Linked DNA regions of Caenorhabditis elegans. The protein of the gene in region 2 interacts with the protein of the main gene of each other region in a pairwise test. Each region holds a gene or a part of one and is shown on either strand. Other genes may lie near its edges.

Region 1 (3,602 bases), on a different chromosome or scaffold from region 2:
GAAAAAGGAGGAAAACGCGGAAAATTGCCTGTCAGCTATATTGAGCTGCTCTAGAAACGCTGCATTCATTAATTTATTGTCTTAGTACTTTGTTCATGTGCCAAAAATGTTTTAGTAAGGTGTCTTATTTATTGTGGAAGATCTCAATTGAAATGTGTCTATTTATTTGACTCCTCAAATGCGCTTATTATTGTATAGGTTATTTAGATTTAAAATAAATGGGAAATTTAAAGATCAAAAATTCGTTAACAATATTGAACACAATATAAAAAGTTTAGTTTTGAAGAAAACTCTCAAATCTCTTCTACGATTGCTGTTTTAGATAATGATAGAACCAACCCTTTGTGAAAATCTTCTGGTTTTCAAACTTCAAATAGAGTTTCCTAAAAGAAAATTGCATTTTTCTCAAATCTTTTTCAGTGATTTTGTTGTAATTTAGACGAAAATTGGTAATTTGAACATCATAGAAATGATTCTTAATCATTTTTTCATTTATATCTTCATTGCATATACTCATTGTGTAAAAGGAAATAATATAAAACTACTTTATGTAATGGCAATAATATTACCGAAATGTACAAATAGTTTGCGTGAAGTCGAAAAAGAAAGACATGGTCAGAAATGAGTTCGTTTAGGCGATCGATCGCTTTGCCTTGCGGTTGGTGTATCTGTATCTAAGACAGCAGGTCTGCTCGGCGCACTTGACGTATCCGCGTTGGCATACGCATTGGTTAGCATCGCAGGAAGTAGTAGCTGACGAATGTTGGGATTGTTGGTTGGTGTACGAAGCGGTGCACGATGACTGGCAAGCTGGCTGGCAAGCTGGGACGCACTGATTGATTGGTTGCGCTTGTTGAACTTGGACTTGGAAGGTTGGCTGAGCTTGTTGGGCGCAATCACAGGATGGCTGGAAGTTTAGATATCCATAGTTAATTTACTGGTCAAAAAGCAATAGTCTTTACCTGAGCCTGTTGGCAAGCGCATGGGTTTTGCTGAACAACTGGGGCACAATCACAAGCTGGCTGAGCTTGTTGGCAGCACGGGTTCTGTTGAACTGGGGCACAGTCGCAAGTTGACTGTAATTCACAAACTTAATGGAAAACTCTGGAGTGTGATTTACCTGAGCCTGTTGTTGGCAGCATGGGTTCTGCTGGACTGGAGCACAATCACAGGCTGGTTGCTGTTGGACTGGGGCACAGTCGCAGGCTGGCTGAAATTACCGGACTAAAAAAAATTGTTCAAAATGCCATACCTGAGCTTGTTGGCAGCATGGGTTCTGTTGAACTGGAGCGCAATCGCAAGATGGTTGCTGTTGGACTGGAGCGCAATCACAGGCTGGCTGAAACTTCAAAAGTTCATCCAACATTTACCAAATATATTGTACCTGAGCTTGTTGGCAACATGGGTTCTGCTGAACTGGAGCACAATCGCAAGCTGGCTGTTGAGCTTGTTGCTGACGGATCTCGATTTGGATGCAGGTCACACATGATGGGTTTTGTTGGCAGTCACAAGCTGGTTGTTGAGCAACTGGAGCACAATCACAGGCTGGTTGTTGTTGTGGCTGCAAAGATGGGTTACTTTTATTCGTCGCTCTTACATTAACAGCCTACCTGGCAGTCACAGGCTGGTTGCTGTTGAACTGGAGCGCAATCGCAGGATGGTTGCTGTTGCTGGCAGGCGCATGGATCTTGTTGAACTGGAGCACAGTTACAAGCCGGCTGCTGCTGTTGTGGCTGGCAAGCACATGGATCTTGCTGAACTGGAGCACAGTTGCACGCAGGCTGCTGCTGCTGTGGCTGGCAAGCACATGGGTCTTGAGCTGGAGCTTGTTGGACCTGAGTGTACTGAACCTGGACATTGATGGTGGATTGTTGGCAGCACGATGGTTGCTGCTGAACTGGGGCGCATGAGCAAGCCTGACGCTTTTCTCTAAGAGTTGGTGCCGAAAGTGCCTGAAAATGGCGGGGAATTTATAAATAAAATGGAATGAAAAAAAAAAGAAATCTCACCAGGGCGACAATAGCAAAAATTGAAAATGCAGAGCGGAACATTGCTGCTTTTGTTAGAGAGTATTCGAAGCCAAGCTACTACTGACAACTCAACTTTTGCTCCTCATATTTATACGCGCCCGCCGGGAGGAGTCATGGCAAGAGGGTAAGACCGGCATGCGCAAGAACAGGCGACAAAAAAGAACGAAGGCAGTTTCAATTGTGCATCAAACACAGATGAGTAGTTATGATCGGATTAGAGCACCTGTGGGAATATGGTAAGGAGGGGGAAAAAAGTTTAGTCAGAGAAAATGAAAACCGTGTGCTGAAAAAATGCGTGCACACAAATAAACATTGTTTGTTTTTGGCTTCTTGCGCACATGAAATTTTGCCGAAGACGCATACTATCCAAAGTGATGTTAGCTATAATATATTTCAGTCTAGTCTTCTAACCAGTTTAAAAACACTTCAATTGTGTCAAGAGAGATATTGGCTCACCAATTCAAAACTCGAGTCTACTAATTTTAGGCCCTACTTTACAAAAAAGTGTGACAGTTGAATCTACTGTACTTTTCCAATTTGTCAGACATTTTTTTCCTCTTTCGAGACAATAAATAACGGCCCAACGTCGCAAATGTGAATGTTTAAAAATTTTGTTTCATTCAATGTCCAGTGTTTTCCAATAGTTCACAGAATGTTCAAGTTGTAGAAGGTTCTCTTTATTCTCATTTGAAATTGTAATTTAATTTGAAAAAAATCGAGGTTAGGTTGCATTGTTAAGCTTAAATTTTTTCAAAGCATGACTAGTAAACGAACGACTATTTTGCACCGATTTGTAAAAAAAAAATTGATTATTATATCTTTTTAGTTGGAGTACCAGCAAGCTATTTTGAAGATCTTTCTTTTGTATCAAGTAATATTGTTCTGAAAGTATTTCTGAAAGGTAGTAGTTTAATATCCCATTTTCAGTAGAGCTTTTTTTCCCAATTTTTGTCTAGACCGTCTTGTAATATATCCGTTATAGTTTTCAACAATACGTGAATGTAGTGACACAGAACTTTCAATCTCCGAACACTTGCATTGAAAAGTTCAAGTGATGCGTTATTTGCAAATAGTCCGTAAATAGAGACCGCGTCATAGAAGAATACAAGCTGAGAAACTGGTTAACGCTTTCAGCTGTTGCATTTGCACAATCTCTCGTTGATTCTTCTCCCTCCCAACAAACAAATACAAAGAACCCCAATTATCACATTCTTCATTACTCAGACCGCTTGCCTTTACTTTAGATACCGGTTGAGGGGTTGAGTTGAGTTCGATTGCCGGCTGGATAAAAGGTTGCAATGTTTGTGTCTGAGGATGAAGGAAAGCAGCACAAAAAGTTGCGCCGGAATCGGATTAAAAGCTCAGGGGTGGTCATGTTACAGGAGAGTTGAGCAACGTACGAGAACCGGTACGTGAGCACTCTGTGCCGGCTCTGTTTTATCAGTGTGCCCGCAAAAACGCATGTACTTGAAATATATGTTCGTTTGATGTGATGAGGAACGTTTTCGAATTATGCGTGTTTTCAGACCATTGGGATGAGCTCAAAAGTTTGCTGGGAGGGGGGGGGGGGGA
Region 2 (6,598 bases):
AACCTTTTGGCAAGCTCAACAAGTTAAATTTAAAGATAGTTTACAATTTTTAAGAGCTGCAGATCAATTGAAAAAAATACAAAATCATTTTTATCGAAAGGATCACAGAGTTCATAATTTTCCAGATATAACTCACTTACAAAATAACTCATGTACTCATGAAAACCTTTATAAATTAATGTTTATAGTCTACTACTAACCAATATTTCTTTCTTGAACAATTCTAAAGTGCCTTTGTCCAACATAATCCAAGTTGTAATCAACTGAAAATGGAACTCCCATATGTGTAACAATTCTTGACACTTCAATCGGTGAGATAATTGTTTTCAATGATGGGACTGCTCTGAATTGATAAAGAACTTCTCGTGTATGATTTCCAAGACATTCGGTATCTTCTGTTGAGCACACTTTGATGCAAGAATAACCATCAGCAATTTGGCTGAAAATATTTTAGACGTAAATTCAAAAATTTAAATTTACTGTTTCATTTCAGAAATATTTAAAATAATATTTTTATTTTATTCGATCTTGATGGGCTATACGAAACATGTCGAAATTGTCATTATCAAAATATTTATTAATCCATGCAAATTTTGAGATCATCACAGCAAGTCACACTATTCAAACATTATCAACAAAACAAAGTCATACAAAATTGTTTCTATCGAATCTTCATGAGCGGTGGATGAACCGTATTATGTCGCTTGTGAGCTGCCACATCGACAATCAGGTTGGCAGCGTATGTGTTGAAGTTTTTGCCTTTTTTGCTCATTCTGAGTAAAAGTTGCAATTTCACTGTCTGTGGTCCATCCAAACTATCCCGAAGTGTTACAACTGCACTATTTCGTTTTTCACCTTTTTGAAGTAAAAAATTAGCTCGAATAGCTGGAAGAACGTTTGGAGCACCTGAAATTAGGTGGGCTAGGGTTAGCGTAAAGGTAATCAAGAAAAACTGCTAAAAAACACTCTTCTAATATGACTTCCTAATTTTTTAGAAATGCTGAAGTATGTGTATTTCAGAGCATTTTTGAAATAGCAGTCTCTATAGATACAGTCAGTAGAAAATTCATACCAACTATAGTAGTCTTCAATTGTAATTCAAAGTTGACTTCAGTGTCTGCATGATTTGGAGCAGAAACTTTAAACAAAGTGATTGCAGGACGATGAGATGAAATAGGTACAGCACGTGCCAAAGAAATAAACTGATAGGTTAAGAATAATGGTACTTTTGAACATTCTTCAGGCAAACCACATGCTGATGGTTGACGATTACAACGACTGAAAATATTGTTAGTGGAACATTCAAACGTATTAGTTCAGATACTTTGCAGACATCCAATTTTCTATTAAGACTATTCATGAATTGGGAAATTTCAAGAAAAATTAGGGTAAGCTTATGCAAAAATTATATAGCTTTAAAAACTAACTTTTTGTTCAACGAGTCGTGAATATAGTTAGTTGGGCAATCGATGGAATGACATTTGAACGATCCAAGTGTATTAACACATACTTTATCCGATCCAGCGCATTCTCCCATGGCACACTCGTCAACATCTAAAAGTATTTGCAATGTCATAAAATTTAACTGGAAAACCATTTTCGAGACAAGAATTCTTGTTCACGAAAGTGAAGTTCAACGAACCAACACAAGTTCTTCCATCCGGTTGAATTTTGTATCCAGGTGGACATTGACACAAATATGATCCTTTTGTATTAATACATCCTCCCATGCACAAATCGTTTCCAGACCCCGCCCAAATTGAGCATTCGTCAATATCTTCGCATTTTGTTCCATCAGGACCAAGTGCAAATCCTCGATCACAAATACATTGATAACTTCCAGGAATGTTAACACATTTCTGTTCACATGCAGCAATTCCAGTTGTACATTCATTCACATCTTCACATCGACGACCATCTGAAGCAAGCTGGAATCCTGGTTTACACTTGCATTCAAATGAACCAATCTGAAAAGTGAACTGAAAATGAGGAAACTTCAAAGCAAATTCGTACAGTGTTAATACACTCGGCTGATAAATCACAAACATGACCAGCAAACTTGATACACTCATCAACATCTTCACATCTCTTCTTCTGAAATAAATCTTTTTTGTGATTATTTTTTTTCTTATTACCGCATCATTAAATTCATATCCAGGTCCACACTTGCATTTGTACGTTCCCGGAAGATTTATACATTCCATTGATCCACAGACTCCTTGTTGGCATTCATTCACATCTGAAAACCGTATTTTATGGTTTTAAATATTTTAGAGTTTCAGTGATATTAATTGAAAGTAAACTTTAAATTTCATTAGTCACAAATAAAAAACGTACCTTCACAGAATCCAGTAGCTCCGTTAACTTCATATCCATGAGCACACAGATTTCCTTTTTGTTGGCATCTGAATGATCCAGGGGTGTTCACACATTCTTCACCAGCTCCACAGTTGTGGCCAGTAACACACTCATCGATATCTGGAAAGTATAGTATAGTCTCCCCTTGTAAATATTATGAAACATTAATTGTTTTTAGTTTAACAACTGAAACACAATATGATGTAATAAAGACTCGCCATTGCACATTCCGTTCTTTGGATAATATCCATTTGGGCAAGTAATCGATGTACATTCTCCAGTCATTGGATTCTGAAGTTCTCCATCTCCACATTTTTTTGCGTCGCATCTATAATTTAATATGAATTTATTTCAATGTTCCAATCACGAACCTATAACTTCCTTGTGTATTTCTGCATTGATAGAGTGGTCCACAGTCATGAGATCCCAAATTGCATTCATCAACATCTTCAACAAAAAAATATTTACAATTAAAAGTGTTATTCAAAATTATCAGAAAGCAATTGTTTCTAGAAGACGCCAAAAATTAGAAACAAAAATTCAAACCACGACACCGCTCAGTTTCAGAGTCCATTGCATAACCAGTTCCACATGAAAGTGTTCGGATGCATTTAAAGCTTCCAGGAGTATTCAAACATCGTTGAGATTCCAAACAATCGTCCATCAGTGTGGCACACTCATCAATATCTGGAGTTAGTTTTGGTTAGTTTTTCAGCAAGCGAGTTTGTCAGTGATGTTCAAAATTTTCGAAAAATATTATATTGTCAATTAACATAGCTTCCAATTTCTCATTCAGTTAGTCATTTAAAAAGCAAGAACCTTCACACTGCGAGTTAGTATCACTCCAATAATATCCTCGATTGCAGACACAGGAACCATCGCCACGATTATTCCCAGGAGAGGGTAGACAATGTTGATTAGAATGTGAACATGGATGATGGAGAGAACATTCTAGGGATTGAGGGTTAGACAGACAGCACACGACAAATATTATTTCAAGAAACAGTTAATTTAGAATTAGATTAAACTTTAATTTTTTGAATTTAAAGTGCGCAAAAAACAATAAGCACACAACTTTTTAAATTTTGTTTTTTTTTTAATTTTCTTGTTAAATTATCTTACCAACGCAATGTCCATGTTGAAAAAGCCATCCCATTGGGCATCCAAACTCTGTATTTGCTTGTGATGCTTCTCTATATTCTCCAGCACGAGAATATGGATCGTCTCTCATTCTTCTTGGCGCATTGCCAATTCGATTGGCACGATGACGATGGGGAACAAGACGAGAAATTCTTCTCTGACAGATATATCCACCAATTGTGTTAACACAATCTTCAGACTGGGTACATGGGGATTGGCGGGTTAAACATTCGTTACGATCTGAAAGAGAAGCACAAAAGGTATGTGGGTAAGCTAGAGGACCGGGAATGGATGTAGTGAAAGTGGGAAAACTTTTTTCTGAAATCGTGAAATAACAAAAGAAAATTATCAAAGCTGCCAATTTGCATAAAATACATACCAATTTTCAGATAAACAGTGTGATGTTAATTTTACTATGTATTTTACTATTAATTTTATTATTTTCCATTCAAAATTAAATTTTCGAAAAGTTCTAACTTGGTTTTGACCTGCACAAAAAAAAGCGTAAAACATATTCATACCTACACAAGCCATTCCATCTGGTGCCAAGTCGAATCCAGATCTGCAACTGCATTCAACCTTTTCGCCTCCACGATCATGACAGAGGTGCTCACAGTGAGATGACGCACATCGGTCGCCGAGATGAAGTACATGTGGATCATTGAGTGGACGTCCTGTAAAACATGAAAAAACAATTTTAACATTAAATCGGGTATTTTTTATGAAAAGTTCCGAATTAAATTATTTCAATTTTTTAAAAAGAAATAATATTGAAAATGTTCTGTTTTCCTACCAGTTATGATCTCGGAAGCATGTGTGATTTCAATGTCACCATTACAACATTTATTGAAACTTCTCAAACATCCAGCTGAAAATCCAACTGGAGCAACACACGGTTCATTTCGATTGAGCAAATCTTTGGCTAGAAGACAGCAATCACAACACTCCTGAAATCCATCTCAATTTATATTTTTATTCGATTTTTTAAAATTACTTTTTTCAATCCACCTCCCAAAATATTTATATTACTTGGGCAGCTCTCCTCTTCTTTTGCAATATCTGTACCAGAGTCACATGCATTATCCAATAAACTTCTGAGACAACATATGGATGCAGCTCTTTGGCACGTCATACTTGTTCCTTCGCTTTTGATACTTGAACAAGTATTTGAATTCTTGAAATGACGAGTTCCTCCAGCACAACATCTTGTAAGTTCGTTGGCAAAGGTCTCTGAAAATTTTGAAAGTTTCCCGTTGTTTGTGATAGTTTTCTTTTTATGGATAATGTTAGAAAATGGCCTATTTTCAAAGTGTTTTTGAGGGCCCTCTTTATTAATTATTCATAAAATTTAAATAAATATTTGAAAAAATTTAAAAAGCTTACCTGCCACCAAAAATGCCAATAATAAGAAACAAATTCGCATATTTCTATCCAATCTACTAAAATTTCCACGGGGTTTCCGTAATTCTGTAAGAAAGCAGATAATGTTGTAACGGAAACACAAAAAGTTGTGAATTGGAACGGAAGTGGCACGACACAAAGAAAATGAGTAGGATTTCGAGGAAAGATCAAATAATATCACATCATCATGTGCTCATTTAGATCATATTTCGTACACAGGGCAAGTAAAAAAAGTTTGTACTGAAAACTTTCAGATTTTTAAAAAAAGAAGAATAAAAGAAAAAACTCCCATAAAAACAATGAAACTGATAAGAATTTATGAAAACGTGTGAAAACCTCACAAAAGCCGTTTAGTGATAAGTGTTACGCAAGACGCAAAAAGAATGATAAAACAGAAAATAATAACAATAAAAATAGCACAACATATTACTATTCTTATCACATTTTGCTCAAAAATTCGTTGTGTCTAAATCGAAAAGCTTTCCAACATTCCCGATTTGGAACCGCCCATCTATCTGCTTCTGCCTGCGTCTCATGTTCCCGCATTTTCCTTTCTAATCTAAGCTTATTGTTATTAATATTATTGAGATGTATGTAGATGTATATGTGCCCGTAAATGACACGGATAATAGTCTGGTTAATTAAGTGAAACAATTTCAAATGAGCATTGAAAGGAAGAGGGAGGAGCATTGGAACAGATGTTTACATGGAATGTTTCGAGGAAATGTGAGATTTTGGGTATATTTTTAGAACAGAAAAATGGCAAACGACACTGTTGAAACCAAAACAAAAAATTTATTTGAATTATTTTAGTTTTTGAAAATATTAAATTGAAAAAAAACGGTCTTTCATTGGAATAGCGCAAAATTGATCGACGGGGTTTATGGTGGATTTATAGTTAAAATCGGAAAATACCTATCCGATTTTTGTTTTACGTTTCAGGGCAACAATCATACTTACTCAGAATTTGGAGCTGACTTCTTGAGCAGTTTTTTCCCAAAAAATAGACTTGGTTGAGAAGTTGTGAAGCTTTTGCACAGTTTGAGTTAGACTTGTGAAACCATTATGAAGCTATTACCAAAGTATCTACAAGTTTGAACAACTATTTCCAATGTCTTATCCAATGTTACAACGACACAAAAAAGTTTTTGTAAGATACTGGCAAGAGTTTCCCAAAATTCTCTCTTGTTCTAGAGTTGGAAACGAAAATGGATAAAAAATAAACGCCAAGTGTTTTACAAGTTTTTACAAGTTTGCATATTTACAAGTTATATACATTTTCAAACTCGAAAACAGTATTTTCATAATCGGCAAGTGACTCATCTGTTTGAAACCTCTAAATAAAAAGTTTAACACTCAATCGCAACATAACACAATGTGAGAAAATGATACATCGTCAGTCAGTCAGCAGTCTTCTTCATCTTTTTTCTTTTCGTTTACATGATCAGAAGCATTTTCGAGGGCGGAGCTCGTAAAAAGAGATCGTAAACGATGGAGGAGGAATGAGTTCACATGTGATGGTACACATTCAGAAAATAAAATGAAAATCTTTTTTGAACTCAAAGGCATGAATGTTGGAAAAACATTGGGAAGTGGGGAAAATGGTGGGAAGTTTCAGGATTTGATTATTTTTGGTTAAAAATCCGGCAATTTCTTTTCTCGTTTGTATGAATATATTTCTTTTCTCGTTTGTATGAAT

Evidence for each region. The genes of interacting proteins can lie anywhere in the genome.
Region 1: the proteins of fbl-1 (region 2) and abu-10 interact in a two-hybrid assay, tested with the Caenorhabditis elegans proteins (one large-scale study listed by BioGRID).

Annotation. Positions count from the first base shown.
Region 1 is NC_003284.9:3,796,672-3,800,273, reverse strand, and holds abu-10 (Activated in Blocked Unfolded protein response), read right to left. Parts: upstream 2,093-3,602; 5' UTR 2,052-2,092; coding exon 2,010-2,051; intron 1,953-2,009; coding exon 1,611-1,952; intron 1,562-1,610; coding exon 1,385-1,561; intron 1,340-1,384; coding exon 1,253-1,339; intron 1,211-1,252; coding exon 1,121-1,210; intron 1,077-1,120; coding exon 963-1,076; intron 908-962; coding exon 632-907; 3' UTR 533-631; downstream 1-532. Other genes in the region: F35A5.8 (SH3 domain-containing GRB2-like protein B1), read left to right, coding at 1-54.
Region 2 is NC_003282.8:9,539,175-9,545,772, reverse strand, and holds fbl-1 (Fibulin-1), read right to left. Parts: upstream 4,966-6,598; 5' UTR 4,922-4,965; coding exon 4,882-4,921; intron 4,729-4,881; coding exon 4,493-4,728; intron 4,446-4,492; coding exon 4,292-4,445; intron 4,173-4,291; coding exon 4,020-4,172; intron 3,739-4,019; coding exon 3,481-3,738; intron 3,046-3,480; coding exon of another isoform or gene 2,905-3,045; intron 2,806-2,904; coding exon 2,730-2,805; intron 2,687-2,729; coding exon 2,577-2,686; intron 2,479-2,576; coding exon 2,338-2,478; intron 2,240-2,337; coding exon 2,136-2,239; intron 2,095-2,135; coding exon 2,014-2,094; intron 1,968-2,013; coding exon 1,643-1,967; intron 1,555-1,642; coding exon 1,428-1,554; intron 1,279-1,427; coding exon 1,073-1,278; intron 907-1,072; coding exon 662-906; 3' UTR 530-661; downstream 1-529. UniProt on the Caenorhabditis elegans protein: Incorporated into fibronectin-containing matrix fibers. Plays a role in cell adhesion and migration along protein fibers within the extracellular matrix (ECM).